2 linked regions of the Anolis sagrei genome follow. The main gene of each other region encodes a partner of the protein of the gene in region 2 in a complex. Links are inferred from orthologs where the notes say so. Each region holds a gene or a part of one and is shown on either strand. Other genes may lie near its edges.

Region 1 (7,867 bases), on a different chromosome or scaffold from region 2:
CACTCCAGTATTCCCAGCAGCTTGGAATTAAATTAAAACATAGATATGTAGATATGGCAGTGCGGATCCAGCTTTTGCTAGGTATCAAGATTGGGTGTACAATGGAATTTGTTGTATTGAAATACCAAAACGTTAGAAAGAGGAGTGCTTTCACTTCGTTTCTGAATTGCGGCAAGCCTGATCTATCTATCCATCTATCACAATGGGCAATATTTGTTTAGAGAGATTTTGCCTTTGCCTTCCTCTATGGGTTTCTATGGCCAAGTGGGAATTTTTATTCTGATTAAATCATTGTAACAACATTCATTCTTTGAGATGAATGTATTTACTTAGCCTTCACATCATCACCATGGCTATTATTAGTTGTTAAAGGGGGTATACTCTTTGGGATGACCTGTGTTTGCATATATATGTGGACATTGTTTCCAAAAGGTACTGAACCCATTGTTGGCTATGCTTGGAATATTGTGTACATATCAAAACAACAAAATCACCTCAGTGCAGGGTTCGAGAAATTGCATTTTATAGCAAAAGAATGAACATCCTCAGCATGTGTTCAGGTGGATTTGGTACCTTTTGGAAATAAACTCCATATATGTGTATGTATATATAAACACAGACAAATGTTGTTTTTGTTGTGTGCCTTCAGTCATGTAGGGGTAGACAAATAGAGTACACCAGGCATAAACAAACTTTGGCCATCCAGGTGTTTTGGACTTCAACTCATACAATTCCTAACAGCCTATTAGCTGTTAGGAACTGTGGGATTTGGAATCCAAAACACCTAGAGGGCCAAGGTTGGCCCAGACCTGGTGTAGATGCAGCTCAATGCAGTTAAAATACATTATATGTGTTTACAGTACACTGACCATTTCAAACTGCATCATATGGTAGTGTAGATCCAGCCTTAGAGAGCATGTCTTGCCCAAGTCCTCCCAATGGGTTTCCAGGGCTGAGCTGGGACTCAAACCCTGATCTCTTGGGTTGAAATGTGTGTCTATACCAGGGGTCCTCAAACTAAGGCTCGGGGGGCAGATACAGCTCTTCAAGGTCCTTTACCCGGCCCTCTCTCAGGGTCAACCTAAGTCTTAAACAACTTGAAAACACACAACAACAACAACAACCCAATCTCATCAGTGAAAAGCAGGCCCACACTTCCCATTGAAGGAGCCCCCGGTGATGCTGTGGGTTAAACCCCTGTGCCGGCAGGACTAAAGACTGACAGGTCGCAGGTTCGAACCCAGGGAGAGGCAGATGAGTTCCCCCTACCAGCTCCAGCTCCTCATGCGGGGACATGAGAGAAGCCTCCCACAAGGATGATAAAAGCATCAAATCATTCGAGCATCCCCTGGGCAACGTCCTTGCAGACGGCCAATTCTCTCACACCAGAAGCGACTTGCAGTTTCTCAAGTCGCTCCTGACACAACAAAAAAAAAAAACACCTTCCCATTGAAATACTAATAAGTTTATATTTCGTTAAAATTGTTCATCATTTTAATTATTGTATTTATTGCTTGTGTTTTTTGCACTACAAATAAGATATGTGCAGTGTGCATAGGAATTCATTCATCTTTTTTCCAAATTATAATCTGGCCCTCTGTTTAAAAAGTTTGAGAACTCCTGGTCTACAGAGTGGTATTAATTCTGTTTGGCACCACTTTGGCCCTTTCTACACAGCTGAGTAAAATCCCACATTTTCTTCTTTGAACTGGAATATATGTCAGTGTGGACTCAAATAACCCAGTTCAAAGCAGATAGTGTGGGATTTTCAGCCACGATATTCTGGGTTATATGACTGTGTGGAAGGGCCCTTTAATTCCCGTGGCTCAATGCTGTGGAATCATGGGAGTTGTAGTTTTACAAGGTCCTTAGCCTTAGAGGCCATGATGAAGTACTTTGGCCACATCATGAGAAGAAAGGAAAGCTTAGCGAAGACAATTATGCTGGGGGAAAAGGAAGGAAAAAGGAAGAGGGCTGACCAAGGACAAGTTGGATGGATGGGATCCTTGAAGTGACTGGATTGACTTTGAAGGAGCTGGGGGTGGTGACGGCCGACAGGGAGCTCTGGCATGGACTGGTTCATGAGGTCACGAAGAGCCAGAAACGAATGAACAACAGCAATAGCCTTCTCTGTCAAAGAGAGCAGCCCTCCCACACAGTCCTATAATAAAGAATATAATGGCAGAAAATCCCACAATATCTGCTTTGACTGGGGGCCCTTCCACACAGCCCTATATCCCAGAATAGCAAGGCAGAAAACCCCCACAATATCTGCTTTGAACTGGGTTATCCGAATCCACACTCAGATAATATGGGATTTAAACTACAAGCGAGGAGATTCCATCTGAACATGAGGAAGAACTTCCTGACTGTGAGAGCCGTTCAGCAGTGGAACTCTCTGCCCCGGAGTGTGGTGGAGGCTCCTTCTTTGGAAGCTTTTAAGCAGAGGCTGGATGGCCATCTGTCAGGGGTGATTTGAATGCAACGTTCCTGCTTGTTGGCAGAATGGGGTTGGACTGGATGGCCCATGAGGTCTCTTCCAACTCTTTGATTCTATGATTTTCTGCCCCAATATTCTGGGATATAGGGCTGTGTGGAAGGGCCCTGGGTTATCTGAGTCCACACTGCCATATATTCCAGTTCAAAGCAGATAATCTGGGATTTTGCACATCTGTGTGGAAGAGGCCTAAACTGCAAACTCCAGCATTCCACAGCATTGGGCCATGGAAGTTGAAGTGGTGTCAAACCACATTAATTCAACAATGTGGACGCACCTCTAGACTGGATCCAGCTAAATAGTTTAAAGTAAGGAATGGCAAAATTCCGTAGAAATCAATGAATATATGACACCACCCCCCCACCCCCCCCCCCAAAAAAATACCCTTTTCTGGTACCTTGAGCACAAAGATCCCCTTTGGCTTCCCACGTGGTCCCCAACACACACGCACCGGCCGCTTCTGATGACGTCAACGAACAGCGTCGCTTTCCCGCTGCCCGGCCAATCCCAAGCTGGGTTCTCGACACGCTCCTTCCGCTTGTCGGCGAGTCCTCTCTCCCTTTGCGAATCTATTGGCTAGAATGATCAAAGAGGTAAGGTCTTTTGAGAGCGACTGTCACTTCCGGCTCTCGTTCCACTTTCAGCCAGGATTATATTCCCAAAGTTTGGCAGACTGAGAAGTTTTTAAGTCAATGTTGCCTTAAAAACAAACAAAACAAAAACCCAGCTAGGGTTGCAACAAATCAGAAATGAGTTGCTGACACTAAACAGTAAGCCCACTTTTTAAAGGCAAGTCCTCAAAAGCATTAATAACTACAAATATTGCTTCATTTAGCATCAGAACGTTAGAATGCAAGAGTTGCAAAGTATTTAATTCAGTCCAGGCATGTTTCAGATTATCCAACAAGACGAGCCAAGAGTGTGATGCAGCAGCATAAAAAGCCAATGCCATTTTAGTCAATGCCATTGATTAGATTAATTATTACTGTGTAATGCAAGTAAAAGCAAATAAAGCTTAGGTAGAAATAAGGTTAAAATTGCTGCCTTTTTTGGATTTCAGAAAAAAAATTATATAGCACTATAATGTCTGGATCAGTGTTTCTCAACCTGGGGGTCGGGACCCCTGCCAGGTCACGAGAGGGTGTTAAAGGGGTTGCCAAAAACCATCAGGAAACACAGTATTTTCAGTTGGTCATGGGGATTCTGGGTGAGAATTCTGTCATTGGTGAGGTTTAGAATGCTCTTGAATTGTAGGTGAACTATAAATCCTAGCAACTACAACTCCCAAATGACAAGGTCTATTTTTCTCCAAACTCCACCAGTGTTCCCATTTGGGCATATTGAATATTCATGCCAAGTTTGGTCCAGATCCGTCGTTGTGTGAGTCCACAGTTCTCTCTGGATGTAGGTGAACTACAACTCCAAAACTCAAGGTCAATGCCCATCAAACCTTTCCAATATTTTCTGTTGGTCATGGTAATTCTGTGTGCCAAGTGTGGTTCAATTCCATTGTTGGTGGAGTTCAGAATGCTCTTTGTTTATAGGTGAACTATAAATCCCAGCAACTACAGCTCACAAATGACAAAATCAACCCCCCCCCCCCCCCCCCAGTATTCAAATTTGGGCATATTGAGTATTTGTGCCCAATTTGGTCCAGTGAATGAGAATACATCCTGCATATCAGATATTTACATTATGATTCCTGACAGTAGCAAAATGACAGTTATGAAGTAGCAATAGTTTTACGGTTGGGGTCACCACAACATGAGGTGACCCCAGCATTAAGGGGTTTCGGCAATAGGAAGGTTGAGAACCACTGGTCTAGATCAAGCATGGGCAAACTTTAGGCGGTTAGGAATTGTGGGAGTTGAAGTCCAAAACACCTGGAGGAAGGCCAAAGTTTGCCCATGCCGAGACAGACGTAGAGACGTAGTTTGAAATGGGATCCGCATGGATGCTTCCAAGGATATGTTGAAATCCAAAACATCTGGAGGGCTTCCAAATCTGTGTCACTCAATAATGTAAGACTAGTCAAACACATGGTTGATGGTCATGATGCCTCCCGGTGGCTCAATGGGTTAAACTCTTGTGCCGGCAGGAATGCTGACCAAAAGTTCGCATCCAGGGAGCGGGGTGAGCTCCCATCTGTTAGCTGCAGCTTCTCACATGAGGACATGAGACAAGCCTCCTACAAGGATGGTAACACATCAAAACATCAAGGCATCTCCTGGGCCAACAAGCAGTAAACAGAGTTGTCAAAAATATAGCCAGTTTAAGGTTAAGAAAACACAAATGCCAGGAGAGTATTATCAATCACATAGATAAGATAGCTGTGAAGAACAAAAATGGGGGAGGGCTGCTGGTAGATTCTATGGTCAAATACCTCCAAAACACCAGGTGCCTAATTAATCAGCTATGTCACAGCTGCCAGGATCATCACAATCTCTACCTCATTTTTGTTAAGAAAAGGATGGTGGCATATCTTCAACATCCTCCATTTCGTGCAAAGCTCCCTGCTTTCTCCTATCATCAGGAGATGCACATGCCTGGACATCTGGCTCCTCTGTTCTCAATCATCTGACTCCAGAAGGTGAGTTATGACAGTTTCCAACCTGCAATGACTCTAAAATAGGGTTTTCTTGGCAAAGTTGGTTCACAGGAGATTTACCTTTGCCCTCAATCACAGTCGGTTCCTACAGCTAAGTGAGGATTCAAACCCTGGTTTTCAGAGTCATTCCACATAAACTTGTCTGATTTTCTGGGTTGCTGTGAGTTTTTCCAGGCTGTATGGCCATGTTCCAGGAGCATTGTCTTCTGACGTTTCACCCTCATCTACGGCAGGCATTCTCAGAGGTTTGTTGGAAATTAGGCAAGTGGGTTTTCTGTATCTGTGGATTGTCCAGTGCTGGAGAAAGAACTCTTGTCTGTTTGAGGCAAGTGCAAATGTTGTAATTGATCACCTTGATTTGCATTGAATAGCATTGCAGCTTCAAAGCTTGGTTGCTTCCTGCCTGGGGAATCCTTTGTTGGGAGGTGATTAGCTGACCCTGATTGTTTCTTGTCTGGAATCCCCCTTTTTTTGAGTGTTGTTCTTTATTTACTGTCCTGATTTTAAAGTTTTTTAAATACTGGTAGCCAAATTTTGTTTACTTTCCAATGTATAGGGTGGTAGGAATTGGAAAGTGGGGGCTTTGTGGGTGTGTTCAGCTAAAATTGGTCACAGAGCCCTCTTCGGCCCCTCGTGCCTAATGCTCAAAGATCTGTCTTCCATGCAGATGTTTGGGGACATTAAGAGCAAGCCTAATGTAAACACTCACATCCTGCCTCCTGTTTTAGTGCTGCACGTTTCTCAGGCAAATGCCAAAACAAGTGATTCAAGATCTAATCTTGACCCAGCATCTATATTTGTAATTGATACCATTCAATTTTAACATCCCACAAGCGCTGCCATAATAATAATAATAACAACAACAAATAAATAAATAAAAATAACCTACTTTTTTGCTACTTTTCTATCTTATATTATTCCCCCACTTTCGCTGTAACTATATAAAATTCAATAAAAATTTATAATAAATAAATAAATAAATAAAAACAACCTAGGCTACCAAACAGCAAGAAATTCACCAAAAATCTCTCACTTGTTGTACATGGATGATCTAAAGCTTTATGGAAAATCAGAAACTGAAATCGAGTCACTGACCAACAGTCAGAATCTTCAGCACTGACATCAGTATGGAATTTGGCCTAGATGAATGTGCCACAGTGGCATTAAAGAAAGGGAAAATTACACAAAGCGAGGGCATAGAGATGCCAAACGGACAAACCATAAAGTACAACAAGCCTGAAGCCTATAAATATCTGGGCATACTACAACTGGACAATATCAAGCATGGTCAAGTGAAAAATTTGGTCAGCAAAGAATATATCCAAAGAGTCAGAAAGGTTTTGAAGAGCAAATTAAATGGCGGAAATACGATCAAGGCTCTCAACACCTGGGCCATCCCCATCATTAGATACACTGGTGGGATTGTGAACTGGACAGAAGCAGAGTTGAATGATCTGGACAGAAAAACAAGAAAACTGATGACAATCCACTACGCATTACACCCGCATAGTGACATTGACAGACTTTACTTGTCCAGAAAATCAGGAGGCAGAGGGCTTCTGCAAGTGAAACAAATGGTAGAAACACGCCCTGGCAGATTATGTGAAAGGCAGTCAAGAACCAACGTTGAGGGAAGTCAATAGTAGTAAACTGCTTAAAGTGCAAAAGACAAAGAGGGAATACCGTAAAAACACAATCCAGAGCAGAAGAGAAAACTGGCAAAAGAAGGCTCTCCATGGACAGTTCCTGGGAAAAATTGAGAGCCAAATTGACAAAGAAAAAACATGGCTGTGGCTCACAAATGGAACTCTGAAAAAGGAGACAGAGAGCCTGATTCTGGCAGCCCAAGAACAAGCCATTAGAACCAATGCCATCAAAGCCAGAATTGAAAAGTCGACAACAGATCCCAAATATAGACTCTGCAAGGAAGCAGATGAAACAATAGATCACATCCTGAGCTGCTGCAAGAAGATCGCACAGACAGGCTACAAGCAGAGGCACAACACCATTGCTCAGATGATTCATTGAAACTTGTGCCACAAATACCATCTGCCTGCGACAAAGAACTGGTGGGATCACAAGCCGAAAAAAGTTACAGAAAATGAACACACCAAACTCCTCTGGGACTTCCGGATTCAGACAGACAGAGTTTTGGAGCATAATACTCCTGACCTCACAATCGTGTTAAAAAGCAAAGTATGGATCATTGATGTCGCAATCCCAGGTAACAGCAGGATTGCAGAAAAACAACTGGAAAAGCTGACACGATATGAGGATTTAAAAATTGAACTGCAAAGACTCTTGCACAAACCAGTAAAGGTGGTCCAGTGGTGTTCGGCACACTGGGTGCAGTGCCTAAAGACCTTGGCCTGCACTTAAACACAATTGGCGCTGACAAAATTATCATCTGCCAGCTGCAGAAGGCCACCTTACTGGGATCTGCACGCATTATTTGCCGATACATCACACAGTCCTAGACACTTGGGAAGTGTCCGACATGTGATCCAATTCAACAGCCAGCAGAGTGTCTGCTGTGGACTCATCTTGTTGTGTTTCAAATTATTATTATTATTATTATTATTATTATTATTATTTACCTATATGCCGCTTTTCTCTCACAATTCGGACCCAAAGCAGCTTCCAACATTTTAAAATAAGATCCCTAGGGAGGTGAAGCCTACTAAGATTGTCTTGGATTTTCCTCTCTTTCTATAAAACCACTGGGCTGTAAAGAAAGTGGTATAAAATATATCCCTCGTTCA
Region 2 (7,011 bases):
CCCACAGATTTGGTAACAACAACTAGGTGGCACTAACATAAAGAGAGAGCAGTGCTCCAATATATACATGAAGACATCATCCCCAACTCTGTTCAGAATCAACTCCCAGAGAATACTCTGAAAAATGGTTTCTGTGGTATAATTGGTAAAGTAGCTGTAGACATTTGGCATGCCGGGCAACGGGAGATGGTTTTCATCCAATAGAGAATAGCCAAAGGCCAAGACATTCCTTTTGTTCTTTTCACAGATTCGCTGAACGACTCTTGCAACGACATCTTGCTGACTAGAAATCTGGAAGTGAACAAAAACGTTATGACTATATTTCATTCATTGTCATTTAGGATTTCGCGGGATTGGCATTAAAATTTTGGGGCACAGGTCCTAAATTATGTATTGCAAGTGTGGCCCACAACATGATGTCGGGCTGCAGCTCCCATCCTCCCTTGCTTTTGCCTAGGCTGGTTGGGACTGATGGGATCTGCAGTCCAGTAGACCACAAATAATAACAACTTTATTTTTGTACCCCACCTCCATCTCTCCAAAGGGACATCTAGTCCAACCTCCTGCTATGCAGGAAATGTACAATCAAAGTACCCCTGACAGATGGCCATCCAGCCTGTTTAAAAGCCTCCAACAGAGTAGCTTCTTTAAGAAAGATCTAAAAACTTGGCTATTCCTATGTGCCCTTGGAGAGTGACCGTTCAACCCATTTTGTTTGTTTCCATCTACAATTGTCCTCATGATGCACTGTCAACCTGTCCTTAATAAAGCCAAACCCCACTGCCCCCCTGACTCCTCCCTCATAAATATACTTTTATTCCTATCTCACCCAGGGTTTCAACTTTTTAACATCTTATCTCGTGCATTTGACCTGCCCTTTCTGTTGAATTTTATTATGTTACTAGCCGTCCCCTACCACGCGTTACTGTGGTCCAGTCTGTGTATATGTATTTTGTGTGTATGTCCCCGGTGGTGCAATGGGTTAAAACACTGAGCTGCTGAGCTTGTTGACCAAAAAATCGCAGGTTCGATTCCAGGGAGCGGTGTGAGCTTCCACTGTCAGCCCTAGCTTCTGCCAACCTAGCAGTTCGAAAACATGCAAATGTGAGTAGATCAATAGGTACCGCTCCAGCGGGAAGATAACGGTGCTCCATGCGGTCATGCTGGCCACATGACCTTGGAGGTGTCTATGGACAACGCTGGTTCTTTGGCTTAGAAATGGAGATGAGCACTACACCCCAGAGTCAGACATGACTGGACTTAATGTCAGGGGACAACCTTTTTTTAAAACATTTGTGTATATGTGTGTTTGCATGTTTTGCACATGCATTGTAATTTTTATTTTGTGGCTTTTTAAGTCTTTTCTACAAATCACAAACCAGGCCCAAACTTGGCACACAGAGTACTCATGACCCACTCTACATCCTGATGCAGTTCTAAGGGGGAATGGACCATGGATGATGGGCCTTGCAGTACCTTTACTCACTGAAACCACTGCGACCCTCATCCTGTGACTGATGAAGACCAAACTTGGCTCACAGAGCCTCCATCCTGGTGTAGTTTGGAGGAGGATGGACCACAGATGATGGGACTCGCAGTACCTTCACTAACTTCCTGAAACCACTGTATATAAATAACTGATAAAGACCAAGCTTGATACACAATTACTTTCTCAAATAACCCAGGACACGCAGGGTCCCCAAGCTAGTCTGTAATAAACCCCACTTGCCTAGTTTCCAACAGACCTCACAACCTCTGAGGATACCTGGGCGAAATGTCAGGAGAGAATGCTTATTTATTTATTATTTAAACTTATATGCCGCCACTCCCCTGGGCCTCGGAGCAGTTTACAAGAATAGTTAAAATCTAACAAAATTTAAAAGCAGTTTAAAACAATTTAAAAACGGCAATATCAAAAATCAAAGGCCTGTCGAAATAGGTATGTCTTGCATGCCCTGTGGAAAACTGATAAGTCCCACAAGGCACGGACTTCGGGTGGCAGAGTATTCCAGAGCGATGGTGCCACTGCTGTGAAGGCTCTGCTTCTGGTTGCTGTTAGACACAAGGTCTTGACACTGGGGACTTCCAATAGATCTTGGTCCTCAGAACAGAGGGATCTCTGGGGTTGGTAGGGGGTGAGGTACATCGGCCCCAAACCATGCAAGGCCTTAAAGGTGAGTACCATCACTTTGAAAGTGATCCGGTGCTCAATTGGTAACCAATGCAGCTGTTGTGAGTTTGGTGTTATGTGGCATCTCATCGGAGTTCCCGCAAGAAGCTGAGCAGCTGCATTTTGTACCAACTTGAGCTTCCGGATCACCGACAGAGGAAGGCCAATGTAGAGGGCGTTACAGTAGTCCAGTCTTGAGATGACCGTGGCCTGGATCACCGTAGCTAGGTCGTCGCTGGACAGGTAAGGGGCCAGCCGTCTAGCCTGCCGTAGGTGAAAGAAGGCAGTTCTGCTAACGGTGGATACCTGGGCCTCCATCGTCAGCAGAGGGTCCAAAAGGACTCCCAGACTCTTTACCAATGATGATGGACGTAGTGCCTCGCCATCCAGGGTTGGCAGCTGGATGTCCCCACTGCCCATACAACTCAGAAAACGCGCTTGTATTAAAATGTTTGGGGGCAGCTTGTGCTCCCCTGAAGGAGCCAGCAGCCTTCCAGGGCAAGTTATAAGCGCCTCAGTGTGCATACTATGGAGTATTTTTGCGGGAGAGGTCCCTGTGTGTCTCCCCAGGCAGTGCTGAGGAGAAGCGCCCACGGCAAGGGGCGGGCCTGGAGAGGGCTGTTTACCTGCTGGAAGCTCAAGCGAGGCGGGGGCGCCTTCCCCCCGCGGGGCCTGCCCACCAGGCAGCGCTCCACCAGCACTCGGAAGCACTTGGGATCCCCCTCCTGGACCAGCGGGGCCCCCGAGGCTTCGGCCTCCTTCTCCTGGAGGCGCCTCACGAAGGCCTCCAAGGGCAGCACCTCCTCGAAGCAGCCCCGCAGCAGCCTGCACACCCGCGGGCGCCCCATGGCCTGGCCAAGCCCCGCCCCCTCTAAGCCCCGCCCCCTCTCGGGCTTGGAAAAAGCGCGGGAAACGCGGCGCCCTCTGTTTTCTTCAGGCAGGAGTCATTGAAGTACGACGCCCGCATATGCAAGGGTGAGGGATGCCGAGGGGCGCAGTCCAGCAATCCTTAAAGGGGCAGCATCCTTTCTGCTCCTACTTCAGAGCGATTTCTTTTCTTTTATTTACCAGCAATCTCAGTGTCAGGTATGAGTGAAAGTGACAGATATATGGGATACACATTCTGCCCACCATTCCAATGTCTCTGGTTTTCTTCATTTTGGAAATTTGGTGTGAATGTTTCAATTGGTCACCTTGATTAGCATTGATTAGCCCAGGAGTTTTCAAGGTGTAGCTTCTTACTGCCTGGGGGAATCCTTTGTTGAAAGGTGATTAGCTGTCCCTGATGGTTTCTTGTCTGGAGTTCTCCTGTTTTTGAAAGTTGTTCTCCATTTACTGTTATTATTATTATTATTATTTATTTACTTTGCTTATATACTGCTGTATCTCAAGCCCGAAGGCGACTCACGGCGGTTCACAAACAGTAAAAACAGTAGAAACAGCAGTGGTTCCATACAACATATAACAATTGACTTAACACATTATCCATAAATTACCAATAAGCAATTACAATGCACAATTATTACAAAAAACAACCGTACCCAATCTTCTCATCATCCAAGCGTAGTCCAGGTTCGTCGTCCATTGTTCCATTCCTATGTTCCATTACCAGATTGCACTAAATTACTCAAACGCCTGCACAAACATCCAGGTCTTCACCTTTTTGCGGAATACCATTAGAGATGGTGCTAGTCTAATGTCCGTAGGAAGGGCGTTCCACAGCCAAGGAGCCACCACCGAGAAGGCCCTATCTCTCGTCCCCGCCAGCCGAGCTTGAGAAGCAGGTGGGATCGAGAGCCCACCTCCCCGGAAGAGCCCTCCCCGGAAGAGCCCACCTCCCCGGAGAGCCCACCTCCCCGGAAGATCTCAAACTCCTCGTGGGTTCATAGGCAGAGATGCGGTCAGATAGGTAGCTAGGGCCGGAACCGTTTAGGGCTTTAAAGGCCAACGCCAGCACTTTGAATTCAGCCCGGTAGCAGATTGGTAGCCAGTGGAGTTGGCGCAACAGGGGGGTTGTATGCTCCCTGCGCTCCGCTCCTGTTAAAATCATGGCTGCCGAGCGTTGGACTAGTTGGAGCTTCCGAGCTGTCTTCAAAGGCAACCCCACGTAGAGAGCGTTGCAGTAGTCTAAACGGGATGTAACCAGAGCATGGACTACCGTGGCCAAGTCAGACTTCCCAAGGTATGGGCGCAGCTGGCGCACAAGCTTTAGCTGTGCAAATGCTCCCCTGGTCACCGCTGAAACCTGGGGTTCCCACCTGTTATGATTTTAGAGTTTTTAATACTAGTAGCCAGATTTTGTTTTGAGCACAATTGCTGTCATTTGCTTTTGCTGGCAGCTAATAAAGCTGTTTTCAGGGAGATTCAACTCATGGGTTGAATGCCGCCATTCCAAGCCTGAAGGGGACTTCTGAGAATGTGAAAAGAGAGGCCCTTTCAGCAGGCCTCATTATATGAGGCCCTTTCAGCAGGCCTCATATAATCCAGTTCAAAGAATGTAGTCTGGATTACTTTTTTTATATAATCTGGATTATATGGCAATGTAGAAGTGTCCTAAATTTGGGAATTCCCCCCAAATAGCAGAGTCCTTAAAAATACAAAAATACTTAGGGCCCTTTTACATTGCCATATAATCCATGTTATCAAAAACAGATAATCCAGATTAAATGCTCTGAACTGGATTATATGAGGCCCCTTCTATACTGCTATATAAAATACAGATCATCTTTTTGAACTGGATTATATGGCAGTATATACGCATATAATCCAGTTCAAAACAGATAATCTGGATTTATATGGCAGTGTAGATCCAGCCTCGGGTCCCTTCCACACTGCCCCTATATCCCAGGATGTGATCCCAGATTATTTTATCCCAAATTATCTGGCAGTAGAGACTCATAATCCAGTTTAAATCAGATCATCTGGGATCAGATCATGGAATATATGGCAGCGTAGAAGGGGTCTCAGAGGAATGAATGGGCAAAAGGTCATAGAGTCACTCAAGGAGCCCCTATGATAGACAGATAACCCTGTTTATTGATTAGTCCACTGACCAAACCAACAATAAAAGACAAAAAAAAAAACCAAAAATAGACACTAACCACTATCCTAAAACTCCTGTAACAGTTAACTAAAATAAATTAAAACATAGGAAAACTAGATTGAATTAAAATACATTTGGTAAAATAGATTGAATTACAAGATGAAAGCAAAGGGAGTAAAGTGAGGAGTGTTAAAGAGTTTGTTGGAGAATCTAGGCAGGGCCTACACTGCCATATAATCCAGATTATCAAATCAAATAATCCAGTTCAAATTTGATAATCTGGATTTTATATGGTTAAAAACACATACGCATATTGAATACATTTATTATAGAGACCCTAAGAACCTAAATACCTGAAAGCAGTTGGTTCCCAATCTTACTCCTTTAGATATTTTGGACTTCCACTTCCAGAAGTCCCAGCTACCTTGGCCAGCTGTCAGGAATTATGGACCACAAAGTCCAAAATATTTGGAGGACCAAAGTTTGGGAAGTGCTGCTCCAGATCCCATCTGATCTTAGAAGCTAAGGAAGGGATGTGAGGCTGTTAACAAATGCACTATTTCAGAGGAAGGAAGTGGCAAAACCACCTGAAGAAACCCTATGAAATTCAAGGAGTCGGCATAAGTCGTGGCTTTGAAAGGGGTTCGGATCGTAAACACACTGGTTTGTAATCTTTCCACGTGCTATATGTTTTGTCTTATGTCTGTCGTAACAGGCAGTTTTTTTTCTTTTATTTAATTTTAGTTGTTAAGTTATAATTCGTGTTTATATGTTGGGTTGTTTAAATTTTGTTAATATGGATGTATTGTATTCAGGCATTGAACATTTGCCTTTTATGTTTGGAATCTGCCCTGAGTCCCTTTGGGGAGATAAGAGTGGAATGTAAATAAAGTTATTATTGTTATTATTATTATTATTATTATTATTATTATTATCATCAATATTCCCTACACATAAACCAAAATTATTGGGGTAGGAGAGTAATCGCAACTTGCCTAGATCTGCTTCATAGATGAAATGAAATTGGGAAAAGGTCACATAGTGTGGGGTCAAGACACGTAATCTGAAGGTATTGCACCACCTGACATCCGCCGGGAAGTAGCAGCCAATAGTGAAAGGACCAAGGCAGAGACATCTCCAGCTCATCCCGTTTGGGTATCAGCCAGCACGTCAACAATTTAAATCAAGACATAGTTTTCTTAGATCTACAGAGGCACTCGCTGCAACACCCCAGCAAGCGAGAGTCCAAAGGTGGCAGGCCCAAACCCAGCACCTCAATCCATGGGTGATACCAGATGAGAGACTCCCCCCTGGGCACACAGAAGACTGGGCGACTTGGAAGGCGCTGAACAGACTGCGCTCTGGCACCACGAGAAGCAGAGCCAATCTTAAGAAATGGGGCTACAGGGTGGAATCCACGGTATGCAAGTGCGGAGAAGAACAAACCACTGACCACCTGCTGCAATGCACCCTGAGCCCTGCCACATGCACAATGGAGGACCTTCTTGCGGCAACACCAGAGGCACTCCAAGTGGCCAGATACTGGTCAAAGGACATTTAACCAACTACCAAGTTTGCAAAATCTGTGTTTTTGTTTTGTTTTTGTTTTTAATCTGTGTGTTTGTTTTGTTCTGTTAGAACTGTAATACAATGGTATGGTTGCTGATGACACGATAAATAAATAAAATAAATAACCTAAACTTTTTTGCGAATCTCTCTTGACTATTTTCCAGAACTCAGCAGCTTCATAACTGTAGAATGGATCAAATGTATGTATCAGAATGCATCATTTCTCAAC

The links.
Region 1: TERT (region 2) and GAR1 share a complex: the UniProt entries of both Homo sapiens proteins name them as parts of the telomerase holoenzyme complex. The link is inferred for Anolis sagrei from reciprocal best matches to the Homo sapiens genes TERT and GAR1.

The regions. Positions count from the first base shown.
Region 1 is NC_090025.1:31,125,923-31,133,789, reverse strand, and holds the start of GAR1 (H/ACA ribonucleoprotein complex subunit 1), read right to left. Parts: upstream 3,004-7,867; 5' UTR 2,949-3,003; exon of another isoform or gene 2,895-2,948; intron 1-2,894. UniProt on the Homo sapiens protein: Required for ribosome biogenesis and telomere maintenance. Part of the H/ACA small nucleolar ribonucleoprotein (H/ACA snoRNP) complex, which catalyzes pseudouridylation of rRNA.
Region 2 is NC_090024.1:105,810,229-105,817,239, forward strand, and holds the start of TERT (telomerase reverse transcriptase), read right to left. Parts: upstream 3,020-7,011; 5' UTR 3,019-3,019; coding exon 2,797-3,018; intron 292-2,796; coding exon 1-291. UniProt on the Homo sapiens protein: Telomerase is a ribonucleoprotein enzyme essential for the replication of chromosome termini in most eukaryotes. Active in progenitor and cancer cells. Inactive, or very low activity, in normal somatic cells.